Linked DNA regions of Coturnix japonica. The main gene of each other region encodes a partner of the protein of the gene in region 2 in a complex. Links are inferred from orthologs where the notes say so. Each region holds a gene or a part of one and is shown on either strand. Other genes may lie near its edges.

The links.
Region 1: HERPUD1 (region 2) and FAM8A1 share a complex: the UniProt entries of both Homo sapiens proteins name them as parts of the HRD1 complex. The link is inferred for Coturnix japonica from reciprocal best matches to the Homo sapiens genes HERPUD1 and FAM8A1.
Region 3: HERPUD1 (region 2) and UBE2J1 share a complex: the UniProt entries of both Homo sapiens proteins name them as parts of the HRD1 complex. The link is inferred for Coturnix japonica from reciprocal best matches to the Homo sapiens genes HERPUD1 and UBE2J1.

Annotation. Positions count from the first base shown.
Region 1 is NC_029517.1:66,993,111-66,996,729, forward strand, and holds the end of FAM8A1 (protein FAM8A1), read right to left. Parts: intron 2,381-3,619; coding exon 2,257-2,380; intron 2,047-2,256; coding exon 1,907-2,046; intron 1,637-1,906; coding exon 1,492-1,636; 3' UTR 520-1,491; downstream 1-519. UniProt on the Homo sapiens protein: Plays a role in the assembly of the HRD1 complex, a complex involved in the ubiquitin-proteasome-dependent process of ER-associated degradation (ERAD).
Region 2 is NC_029526.1:1,860,822-1,864,867, forward strand, and holds the start of HERPUD1 (homocysteine-responsive endoplasmic reticulum-resident ubiquitin-like domain member 1 protein), read right to left. Parts: upstream 2,807-4,046; 5' UTR 2,772-2,806; coding exon 2,634-2,771; intron 2,482-2,633; coding exon 2,404-2,481; intron 2,328-2,403; coding exon 2,253-2,327; intron 1,339-2,252; coding exon 1,214-1,338; intron 906-1,213; coding exon 783-905; intron 289-782; coding exon 1-288. Other genes in the region: partitioning defective 6 homolog alpha-like, read left to right, coding at 3,867-3,983. UniProt on the Homo sapiens protein: Component of the endoplasmic reticulum quality control (ERQC) system also called ER-associated degradation (ERAD) involved in ubiquitin-dependent degradation of misfolded endoplasmic reticulum proteins.
Region 3 is NC_029518.1:68,946,944-68,951,176, forward strand, and holds the start of UBE2J1 (ubiquitin-conjugating enzyme E2 J1), read left to right. Parts: upstream 1-1,426; 5' UTR 1,427-1,579; coding exon 1,580-1,610; intron 1,611-1,978; exon of another isoform or gene 1,979-2,192; intron 2,193-4,233. UniProt on the Homo sapiens protein: Catalyzes the covalent attachment of ubiquitin to other proteins. Functions in the selective degradation of misfolded membrane proteins from the endoplasmic reticulum (ERAD) and is essential for cells to recover from ER stress.

The DNA.
Region 1 (3,619 bases), on a different chromosome or scaffold from region 2:
AATTGTACCCAGCTGTGGTGCTACCTGCCTCCATCTTGAATCCCAGTTTCTAGATAGAACAAAAGTTCTAGTTGTATTCATGGTGAAAATCTAAATAGGCAATACCCAACCCAGAATGGCTTTTGTCAGTTCTAACAACTTCAGCTTCTGTCAGCTTAGACAGCCCTTCCTCAGCTCGTAATGCTCAGATCAGCAGTGCTGTTCTTTGCATCTTGGTACATATGTATTTTCTGATGATGCACTTGGAAGTTGGGTTTCTAGGTAAGACAACTGACTGCTTATAGCAGAGTATCTGAAAGTCATTAGCCAAAAAGGGTAAGTGACTTCGTTCTGGAAAGGTGAGTAATGACTCTGGTCCCAGAAAGAAGATAGTGAACAAAGATCAGAAAATACATGCAGCAAGCTCTCTTCATGAACAAAATAGCAGCTCTTGTCGAACTAAACTAACTCACAGTATTAACATTATTAAAGCCCTTTCTCCAAGATACTAACGCCATAAGAACAAAAATCAAAGCTGTGTATAATCATGCAAAATATTAGGCTTTTTTTATTCAGTATTTAAGTTATTCTGAATATACAAACAGTTAGCCAGAAGATAAAGTGAAAACAAGTACTAGTTGTACTTCTATATAGACTTACACCCATAACACATGTTTCAGTTAATAGTTTCTGCATGCTCTTGGAAACTCATTCAGATGTTCTGCTTGATATTATATGCAAGAAATAGACAAGTGCTTTCACTGCAGAGAGAAGCAAATGATGTGTGCTGTTCACAGCTCCAAAATGATGTACATGGCAATTGACTAACACTGTGGTGTAACATGCCCTTTCCAGAGAAAAAGCAGCCACCATTTCACCTCATTATTAGCTTTGACACGTGAAATAAATGACAATACTTAATCATGCAATAAAACCCGTCACATCAATATCCAGATAAAATACTTTGAAGAGGTGAGGGAATACGATCTGTGAAGCAGTCAGAAAGGAAGCGATAAACACCACTTTCTTTCTGTGCATCTGTCACTGTAACTCACTGAACGCACCTTACTCTCCAATACTGCAGTTCCCTTCCCCTCAAGGAGCCAGCAACACAACTCAGGCAACTGCTTGGAAAACATGATTTTCTAGTTAGTTACCTCCAGCACCCAAAGCTTTTCTTTAGAGGTGGATGGAGTATTTCTCAGTATCCGCTTTCCCCACAGGATGACGAACAGAACAGCACCGTTCTGCAGTTATTAACACACAGCCGCTTGTTTTCAAGCTACGGTTAATATCGTTTCTCTCAAAATTCTTTGGCATTTGTGAGAATTCCAATACTTTGAAGGTAGCTGCTGGCACCACACTGGAGCAACCCCATTTCCTTTAGCTTGGGAATCGTTCTGCTTTCATTTGGGCTAAAGATTCGGATGGTCATCTCGGTTTTGGGGTGGGTTTTTGTTCATTTGGGAACGGTATTCAAAAAACAGTCTGGGAGTCTGTCATCTTTTGCTATCATCTGATTCCATTTCTTCTTACCACAATAGTTCCTGCTACGATATCGTAGGCTGTTCTGTTGTGCTGAAAAAACAGCAGCGTAATGAACGCAGGAAAAAATGAAGCGATGGAAAAATTCTTGATCAAGGCTCTTATTGTAGACCTGAAAGGAGAATAAAAGCATTCAGTGCCTTCTTTATTGTCAACTTCCCTGCTTTCCCCAAAGCCAACAACCTCCAGAGTTTAGAGATTATCTTACCACCTAACCTGGAAAATATTCACAACTAATTAACTGTTATATTGAAAGAACCTGAGAATACTTCTTGGCAATCCAATGCCGGCAAAGGCCAACAATAAAGGAAAGGTGCATTTCCTTCCAAACCACATTTTCCATCCCATTAATACAAAAGCAAGGTAAGCTAAGAGCACTTACGTTGTCATACTGACATTAGAAGACGGAATGACTAACACACGGCTGGGTGCAACGAGGACAGACGTATCACACGTCACAACTCGCAGCCCGAGCAAGAACTTCCCTGGGGTTGCTCCTCCTGCTCCCCAAATACAGATGATCTGCGAAAGAAAACTTACTTCAGTTCCACACAGAGCAGTGTTATTGACTAGTATGGCAAACATGGCTTTCTTCAAAAATAAGTGAGGCCCACAGCTTCACAGAACTCCAAGTAAAGAGGGCTTTACTTCATTGGCCACTGATGATACTTTGTTGTTTATCCGAGAACTGATAACTATGAACTACAGCAGTTAAAATGCAGGAGTAGTTACCTCGTAGAAGCAGACTAATAACCTGTAGATGAGAGCCACTATCATCATTTTCTGCAAGTCTTCCATGGATGTATCTTCATCTATTTCCTCTATTATGTAATGCATAGCAAATTTAGAGATGTCTCTGTTGAAAATAAGACAACTTTAAAAAACAACCCACAAAGCAAAAAACCAAACACGACACAACATCCAGAACTCATTTGTCCCTCCTAGTGCTGGAATTCTCTTCAGCTTCTGTGACATTGAGCCACCCAATACAATTCCTAACACTGGGAGGTGTTCAAGACCAGGTTGGACGGGGCCCTGGGCAACCTGATGTAGTAAATGTGTATGTTTGGTGGCCCTGCCAGGCAGGGGGGTTGGAACTACATGATCCTTGAGGTCCCTTCCAACCCGGGTCATTCTGTGATTCTGTGATCTGTGATTCTGTGAGGTTTCCTTCCAAGTTGCTGTTCAGTTTTTCGTTATGAAAAAATGCATTGTGAGCACATTTGCAACATGACAGTCTATGGAGTGAGCTGCAGAATCGTTAGGAACATTCTCATTCTTGAGAGATGCACAAGGGATTCCACAATCATCTACTTACACACATGGATACAACTATCTTCATTACAGGGTGAGGGAGATGGGAACTCAATGCATTGCTCTCTTATAACTGCAAAGCAGTTTGCAAGTCACCAGACAAGCAAAGGAGACTTTACCCCCTTTGCATGAGCAGGGTTTGCCTTCTCAGCAGTTCCAAAATGCTTTCAACCAAACAGTTGAAACTCTCAGCCATCTCCCCTAACAAAGCAATGCAAAGCTGCAGCTCAGAATCAGCTGTGTATCTTCACAAGTCAAACCACAGATGTGACATCTGATAAGTGGAATGGGCGCACTTGCAACGTGTACTTAGGAGATGACTTTTCCGTGAGCCATCTCAGTTATAATTTCTATTTAAATAGAAAGGTGTGGGCCTCGTGAAAACAAGCCACGCACGCACCACTCGCTCTCCTCTCTGTTCAGGATCAAAAAAGATAGGAATTGAGAGAATGGTAGTACAGCACAATCTGCTCTTCCCTTTAGTACAAAGCTGGCCTGAAGTCTTTGTCTTCAGTGAGGATGTGCCTTACGTGACAGCTCAGCCTGGCCTCCAGCACACAGCTCACCAGGGGGAAAAAAATAGTTTCTGAAGCTACTCGTAAGCAACTTTGTGGCTCTTGCAAGAGCAGCAATATCGAATATACTGTACAGTAACTCAAAAAGATTCTCTTTCAATCACCATTTTTGCAGAAGTGATACACATAAAGCTGTTCTCCAGCTTTCCCGTATCTTCTGTATCATTTTTGGCCTACAAAACTGAGGTAGAAATACAAGCTGCCAG
Region 2 (4,046 bases):
GAGTAGAAATAAACGATGTTGACAAAAACATAGAACAGCGTTGCAGAGTAGAGCCAGTCCAGCCAGTCTCGATTGCCACCTTCCTCCTCTTCCCCCATGAGAGGACCCCCCTGGGCGTTCATCCTTAAGTTCTGGTTGGCCACCACGTTGGCTTGAGGAGCAGCATTCTGGTCCCCAGGTTGGTTTTGTGCAGGAAATGGGTCTGGGACAGGAGCTGGGGGTGTCACTGGGATCTCCTGAGAACGCCGTGTGGAGGTCGGGTCAGTAGATGCAGCAGTAGAAGCCAAGCTGCAAAGCAGAGAAATGCTGTGTAAACCTTTTAAAGCTGAGCAGACACTGAGAACTTGGCCACCTCAGTAGTTCAGAACCACCAATCAGATCACATACAACTTAAGAAAAGGCTGAGCTTCACAATGGCCCAAAGCAAGCTCTGGCTCTGCCTGTGGTAACTTCCATGACTTCCAAGTCAAACTACACACCTTCCCATTAGTAATAACTTCACAACAAGTTGCTCTGATCAATCTGAATGTGCTCTGGAAGGCTGCTACAGCTCTTGGCTTTAACTCTGTGACCAGTTTCCCATCTGTGGGTAACTTTAAGCAGTCAAAGAACACTGTAAGGAGCTAACATCACAGCAGAAGTAAATTCCCTGCAGAAAAGCAGAGTACAACAGTGGAGCACTAAATCCTCTGACTGCATCATAAGAAAACTAGCAGTCCTTCATCTTCTGCATTTCCTTCTATTAGTTCCTACCATCCCCTAGCAGCTTCAGGAAGACTTACTATTGCATGTAGTATTGCCTTGCATAGATGTGTTGAAGCCAGGACATCTGAAGCAGGCTGTAGGTTGTGTACAGAGAAAACCCAGGAGGCACCGCTTGGAAACCATGCCGAGGTGTTTCAGGCCTGTGGAAAATTTAAATGACGTGTGTTAAATACCAGAAAAGCCACAAGAGCCATTAATTGCAGGACATCAGATGGCCTCTGCTATTTCCTGCACTGAAACAAGAATTCTCCCCTCAAGTACTAAAAACATCTCTCCCCCAAAGGATAAAAGCAAGATTTGCCATTATAACAGTGTCACATTAACTGGATTTTATACATCCTTAGCACCTCCGGCCTGTTCTGCACTGCACAGGACTTAATGCACATACTAGGCCTGGCATCCAACAGTCTGCCCAAGCAGGCCTATGAGGATCAAGTAATGGACTTACCTGGCACCAGCTTCTGCTGCTGCTGCCTGACCACCAGGAGAGCATCCCAGCCGTCCACCATCTGAAGCAGCAGCAGCTGGTTCTTGATTAGCTTCTGTCGTCAGCTTTGGCTGAGCAGCTTTAACCTGTAGGGAAACCATAACTACCTGAGGGGCTGTTCAGAACACCATGCAAATCTCAAACTATTTCAGCACACAGTTCTTATTTTAGAGAAACTGTTTCACATCTCACAAGGATCCTGCAGGTGCCACAGTACTGTCCCTGCACTTAATCCTGTGCTACAAAGCACCTCCATCTCTATTTTAGAGCCCCTTAATAGTGACTCGTACATACAACACCATATGTGACAGGCATTTCATGGCTTCACCCCCATTCAGGTCCCATCTGGTTACGGAAGAACAACTTGAAAAAGAACTAAGGGATCTGTGCTCGAGACAAACCAACTTATCAACTACCATGACTAGTGCATGCACACCCATCTGCAGTACACAGACATAAATCAAGAGCTGCTCTGGGGCGATACAGCTGCATAGTACTCAGAGGGTGACTCATATCTGGCAACACACATAGGAAAAGCTCAAATTGCTCAGTCCAGACAGCACAAACACCTCTACAAACGTCACTACGTATACTACAAGTGAGTTTGGACAGTGACACTTCAGTAAGTCATGAGAGCAGCCACCTAACTTCCCCTCTGCCAGCTGAGTAACACATCTTCCTTTACATCTCTTCTTCCACACACAGCAATGAGAGCTGCCCCAACTGACTGCATAACCCTCTGTATGGGAGAGCCTTGCTATGACAGGCCTTATATCATTAAGCAGGCCAGGCAGCAGCGCTCCCCCAGGCAGCACACTACAACTACGCTATACCTTTGATACTTCCCAACAGGTGCCATCCAGATCTGTACTGGACAAGGCAGCAGCTGCTTCTGAGCTTAATTTAACTACATTGTCACAGGGTAAACACCAAGAGTATCACAGCATGAACAGGAAACACCTGCAGCACTGAAAGCAGTGCCATAACTCAGTGTAAATACCTCCGTGCTGCTCTCCGGTACATCTACAGGCGCCCTCACGTTGTAGACCAGGTGCAGAGCGTGCAGCTCCTCCTGCTGAGAGACACAGGACACATGAGAGAAGCCCCCCCATATTGGAGCGCTTCAGCACAGGATGGAGCATTGATCCTACCCCGGGCAGGAACTCCTGCAGGAGCTGATGGTCCAGCAGCAGCTTCCCGCAGTAGATCAACTTCTGCTCGTCCTCAGCCTAAAGAAAACACAGAGAAAGGAATGACCCCCACCTCAGAGCACATACAGCCGCTATAGGCCCCATGCAGCTCCTTGCTCCCAAGGTCTCACGGTGCCGCAACCTCCCCCAGGCGTTGCGTCATCCCGCCCCCCCCACCCCGCACTCCTTACGGGCTCCCCGGGTGCCCTGCGGCGCAGCTCGGCCTTCAGGCGCCTCACAGTCCACGCGGGCGCTGCGCGGAGCCGCATGTCGGGGTGTCGCCGCGCGGGGCTGCGCACCAACAGCGACACGCTCAGCTCCTCCGCCATGGCGCGTGTGTGGCGGCCCCCCGCCTCCGCCCTTTATATAGCTTCCTTCCAAGCCCCGCCCACTTCCGCCCCGCCCGACCGCAGAGGCGCGGTGGCTGCATGCGATTGGCTGAGAGGGAGGAGGGGGCGGACACGTGGGCCAATGGGAAGCAGCCTCGCGTGCAGGAACGAGGAGGGGCGGCGGGTGTTCGGCGCCGCTTCGCCATAGTAACCGGGACAGCGCCGGACAGCGGAGCGCAGTGGGAGCAATGAAGGCCGCGGTGCAACACCGGGACCCGGGTTCGAATCCCCCTGTGGCGCAAGTGGTAGAAGTGCCGCTCTGCTACACAGAGCCTCGAATCCCGGGTGCTGGACTCCATGATCTCTAAGGTCCCTTCCAACCCGCACCAGACTGTGATACTGTGATACTGTGATGATATGATACCCTCGGGCCGGGCTCTGAACCGGGCCGCGGTGACATGGCGGTGACATGGCGGTGACATGGCGGTGACATGGCGGTGACATGGCGGTGACATGGCGGTGACATGGCGGTGCTTTGGTGCTGTGTCCAGCTCCACACCCTGCAGCGCGGCTTCCTCGGGCCCAAAGCGGTGACCATGGGGTGGCCGCAGTCTCGGTGCTGCGCAGCTCAGTGCGCTGAGCACAGGGTGCAGCTCAGAGCAGGAACCGAGCCCGGCAATGAGCCCGGTGCATTGGACCCGAGGTGCCGGGCTCCCGGTGCCCTCTGTCCGTGTTACCTGCGTCAGCGCTGACCCCGCTGTCAGCGGGATTATGTGTCTGACCTCATTGCGCTGACCCGTTAACCCCGGGGCAGCACGGCTCTGCTCCCCGTGTGCTGCTGGGCACAGCACCGGGAGCGTCAGGCAGCGCTGGGGGCAGGCTGCCCATGCTCGGCTCTCACAGCCGTATCGTCTGTTTTATTGCCGGTCCCACCGCTGTGTCCGTGACCCCGCACTCCCGGGGTCCCCCCGCTCCCGGTCCCTCCCCCGTTGCTACAGCGACGTTGTCATCGCGCTCCTCCCGCCCCACGGCCCCGCCCCCGAGCCCCGCCTCGACCAATGGCAGCGCGCCGCCAGGCCGGGCCGCGGTGACGTCATGGCCGGTGAAAATCCCCCGTGGCCGCGGGAGCGACGGGGCGGCGCGGGCAGCATGGCCAGACTGCAGCGGGCACCGGGCGGGGCCGGGGGGACCGTCATCGAGGTCAAGAGCAAGGTAAGAGACCGTGACGTGACGGTACCGGTACCGGTACCGGTGCTGATGGTGCCGATACCGGTG
Region 3 (4,233 bases), on a different chromosome or scaffold from region 2:
CCCCAGATTTCTGTCCGTGCACACATTACAACACTGCCTCGCAGGCATCGGTGGTTTCACAGCTGAGTCACCTGGCAGCGTTCGTTGTCTGTAGCCTCAACTGTCAGTCAGGCAATGAGTCTGAAAATAAAAGCAGTCACTTACTGCTAGCTCTGCGCAATTGCTTGTGGTTATCCAGCACCAATACAGGCCACGACATAGCTGAATTAAATAGAGAAAACATTACGTCCCTTCAGTGGATTTCTGTTTCTTAGCATTTATGTCTATTCAGCTTATTTTCAGTAGTGTTTAGCTGCTATGGCCTGGAGCATCTTCCCTATGAGGAGAGACTAAGTGAACTGGGTCTGTTTAGCCTTGAGAAAAGAAGGCTGAGAGGGGACTTGATCCAGGTTTATAAGTACCTGAGGTGTGGGAGCCATAGTGGTGAGGCTGGTCTCTTTTCAGTAGTGCGTGGGGACAGGACTAGGGGTAATGGGATGAAAGTACAGCATAGGAAGTTCTGCACGAATGTGCAGCAAAAGCTCTTTACGGTGAGGGTGACGGAGCACTGGAACAGGCTGCCCAGGGAGGTGGTGGAGTCTCCTTCTCCTGGAGATATTCAAGACCCATCTGGATGCCTACCTGTGTGACATGGTGGAGCCTGCTTTGGCAGGGGGGTTGGACTCGATGATCTCTAGAGGTCCCTTCCAGCCCCTACAATTCTGTGATATATATTTAGTTAAAAACCCCAGTTTCATGTCAGTTACAGGTGCTTCCTCTTTGAGTTGTATAAAATGTAAATGCACCAGCTTCAAAACCAGAGCCCAGAAGAGAATGCTGAACTCTGTACTGCTCCGGTTCATAATAAATCTCACTCTTCTCAACTTACTGCCATTATTCCAATGATCATACTGTTGAGATACCTTCTATCAAAGTATATCCCAGATGTGTTTCTTTTTAACACAGAATTCTATAGTTCTGACTGTGAAATGCTACTGTGCTCCTTCAGGGCAGGACAAGATTTAGTCAGATCCCAGAGCCCTTCTCCCATTGCATAGCAAGGTGGCTCCGGCAAAAGGGAATCTGAGAGCAGAAAGAGGGAGCAGAGAGCAGTCCATCCCCAGGCCTAGTGTGTTCAGTATGACATCACTGCCATCCACGTACACTGGGAATGGTGGGTGGCCACACCGACCTGAAAGGGTAGTCAGGCATTGGGATGCACTGCCCAGGGAGGTGGTGGAGTCACCGACCATGGGAGTGTTCAAGAAACGTATGGATGTGGTGTTGATGAATATGATTTAGCTGGGAAGTATTGGTAATGGTTGGACTAGATGATCTTCTAGGTCTTTTCCAACCTTGATAATTCCGTGATTCTGTAATTCTGTGACCTTCGGCTCAGGCCTCGCGCAGCCAAGAGCCGCTCAGCCCGTCCCCGCTCGCGGGGCGGCTCTGGGGGCGGTGCCTGTCCGGCCGGTGCCTCCCTCCGCCACGTCAGGGGAGTTTCCCGAGGCGGGCCGGGCCGTGCCGTGCCTTCTTCCTGCTCGTTTTCCCCCGGCCCCCGCTACCGGAGACGCTGTGGAGGAAGAGCGTGCCGGCTGTCATGGAGGCCCGCTACAATCTCAAGAGCCCGGGTAGGACGCGGCAGGCCGCCTTCGGGCCGCGGGCTCGGCGGGCGGGCTCGGGGCCGGGCCGGACTGGGGAGGCCGAGAGCTCGCTCGACAAAGGGCAGAGCTGCGGCCCGGCCTCGGCTCCACAGGGGGACGAAGGCCGCCGTGGGAGGGAGGAGAGCGGGCGGGTTGGGGCCGTGCTGCTGATGCCGGCTGTGCAGGGCTGGTCGGCCCGCGGTGCTTGGAGGCGTTGGATGCCTCCTGGAGTGGAGCACGAGTATCTCGGGGCGCTGCCGTGTGTGTGTGTCCACGCCTTTTTATGCTTGTCGTGGTTAGTACGTTGGAACTGCTGCCTGCTGCTGTGCGAACGTGGCTGTGCCCGTGCTACCAGCTGTTCGTTGGCTCCTCGGGCCTGCGCGAGGGGAGGGTCAGGCACTGACGTTGGCCGAGCCTGTGCATTGAAGCTTTTTCCTAAGCTGTTGTAGTGTTTTTATGTGCTGCACCTACATGTGTGTGTATACGTGTGTTTGAGGGGTTCTGCAATACAATTCATGTGTTGACAGCACTAGGCAGTATTTTGAGTCCTTAAGCGAGGAGTGTGCTCAGGTGAGTCACGATACAACACAGTAGGAAGGAGTCTGGGGCTGATAATAGCAGGACAAGGGGAAGTGGATTTAAGTTGAAAGAGGGAAGATTTAGGTTGGATGTTAGGGGGAAGTTCTTCACTAGGAAAGTGGTTAGGTCCTGGAACAGGCTGCCCAGGAAGGTTGCGGATGCCCCGTCCTTGGAGGTGTTCAAGGCCAGGTTGGACGGGGCCCTGGGCAACCTGATCTAGTAAAGGTGTATGTTTGGTGGCCCTGCCAGGCAGGTGGGTTGGAACTACATGATCCTTGAGGTCCCTTCCAACTCGGGTCATTCTGTGATTCTATGTCCTGAGAAACAGCACAGAAAGGGCAGAGGGGGCTCCTTTTCCAGCAAGGGCCCCGAGGCCAGGTGGGCTCCCTCCTGCAGGGCCACACTGGGGCAGTGACCTGTCCGTGGCTGTGTGCCTCTGTGGCTTCTTAAGCAGAGCTTTGGGGATTGTGAGGGCTGGGAGCCTTTCTGTGTCAGTTGCCCTGCCCTGTTGCCCCAGCCCACCTTTGGGCAGCAGGTGTTATCAGCTTCCTGTTGCTGTTGATGAATACTGTTCTATTGCCAGCATGGGAGGTGGGGAGAAACTTAGCATCGAGATGACTTGTGCTTTGCAAATGCAAATGACAGGCTTGTTCACAAAGCATGCCTCGTGTTTATTGCTAAATTATGTTTTCTTTTCTCTCATTGCTCCTCACGCCCAACTTACATAACTGAATAATGAGAAGCACAAAGCAAATGATGTGCTTATTCTATTATAAAATACCAGGAAGGCAGATTTTGGGGGGGGTTGCTTTTTAAGTCTCTGATATGCCGCACATGTGAGCTTCAAGGGCAGGCAAATACACTCACCAGTTCAGGTTTGCCACGTCACTGAAAGCAGTGGTGGTGATGTACCTTGGGATCGTGGCAAATATTTGTGGTTTCATTTAGAAGCATTTGTCCGCTCTGTTGTTACCAGCTTCTCTTATTTTCAAGTGAAAATTCTCTTTACTTACTTGATTTTTTGCCACCTGTGCTGTTGTATTGCAAAACGAACCTCTTTCAGGAAAAATAAATGACTCATACAGTGGGTCGGTGTTGCTTCCCCAGATCAAGCGTGGTCTATAGCATATGGCTGGTGAAAGTCTGGGAAAGTCTGGTAAAGATTTGCTTTTTCAGAAGCCACACTAAATCTTCCTATGAAATTATGAGCAGAAGATATTAAATACCAAAAAGAAATTTCAAGTAAATACTGTTTCTTCAACTATCTTGGTCAACCCCGGGTGATGCTACAGACTTGGGGCAGAGTGACTGGGGAAGACTTTGTAGAGGAAAACAGATCTGGGTGTATTGGTTGATGCTTGGCTGAACACGAGCCAGCAGTGTGCCCAGGTGGCCAAGAAGTCCAATGGCATCCTGGCTTGCATCAGAAATAGTGTTGCCAGCAGGAGCAGGGAAGTGATCATCCCTCTGTACTCAGCTCTGGTGAGGCTGCACCTCGAGTACTGCGTTCAGTTTTTGTCTCTTCCCTGCTAAGAAAGACACCGAGGCCTGAAGAGTGTTTGGAGGAGGGCAGCAAAGCTGTGAGGGCTCTGAAGCACACATGGGGAGTGGCTGAGGGAACTGGGATTGTTTCCTCTGGAGGAGGCTCAGGGGGGGACTTTATCACTCTCTAGAACTACCCAAAGGAACATGGGTGTCAGCCTGTTCTCTTGTGTGCCTGGTGATGGAACAAAAGGGAATGGCCTCAAGTTGCACCAGGGGAAATTCAGGTTGAATATTAGGAAAAATTTACTCTCTGAGAGGGTGATCAGTCACTGCCCAGGGAGGTGGTAGAGTCACCATCCCTGGGGGTGTTTAAGAAGCATTTAGATGTGTGCTCTGGGACATGGTTTAGTGGGAGATGTTGGTGATAGGTGGAAGGTTAGACTGGGTGATCTTAGAGGTTGAAAAAATTTCCCACTCTGTGCTTCAGGCTTCTTTGTATTGCCTCAATAAGGCAAAGCCTCTTCAGCTTTTGCTTCATATTTTTATT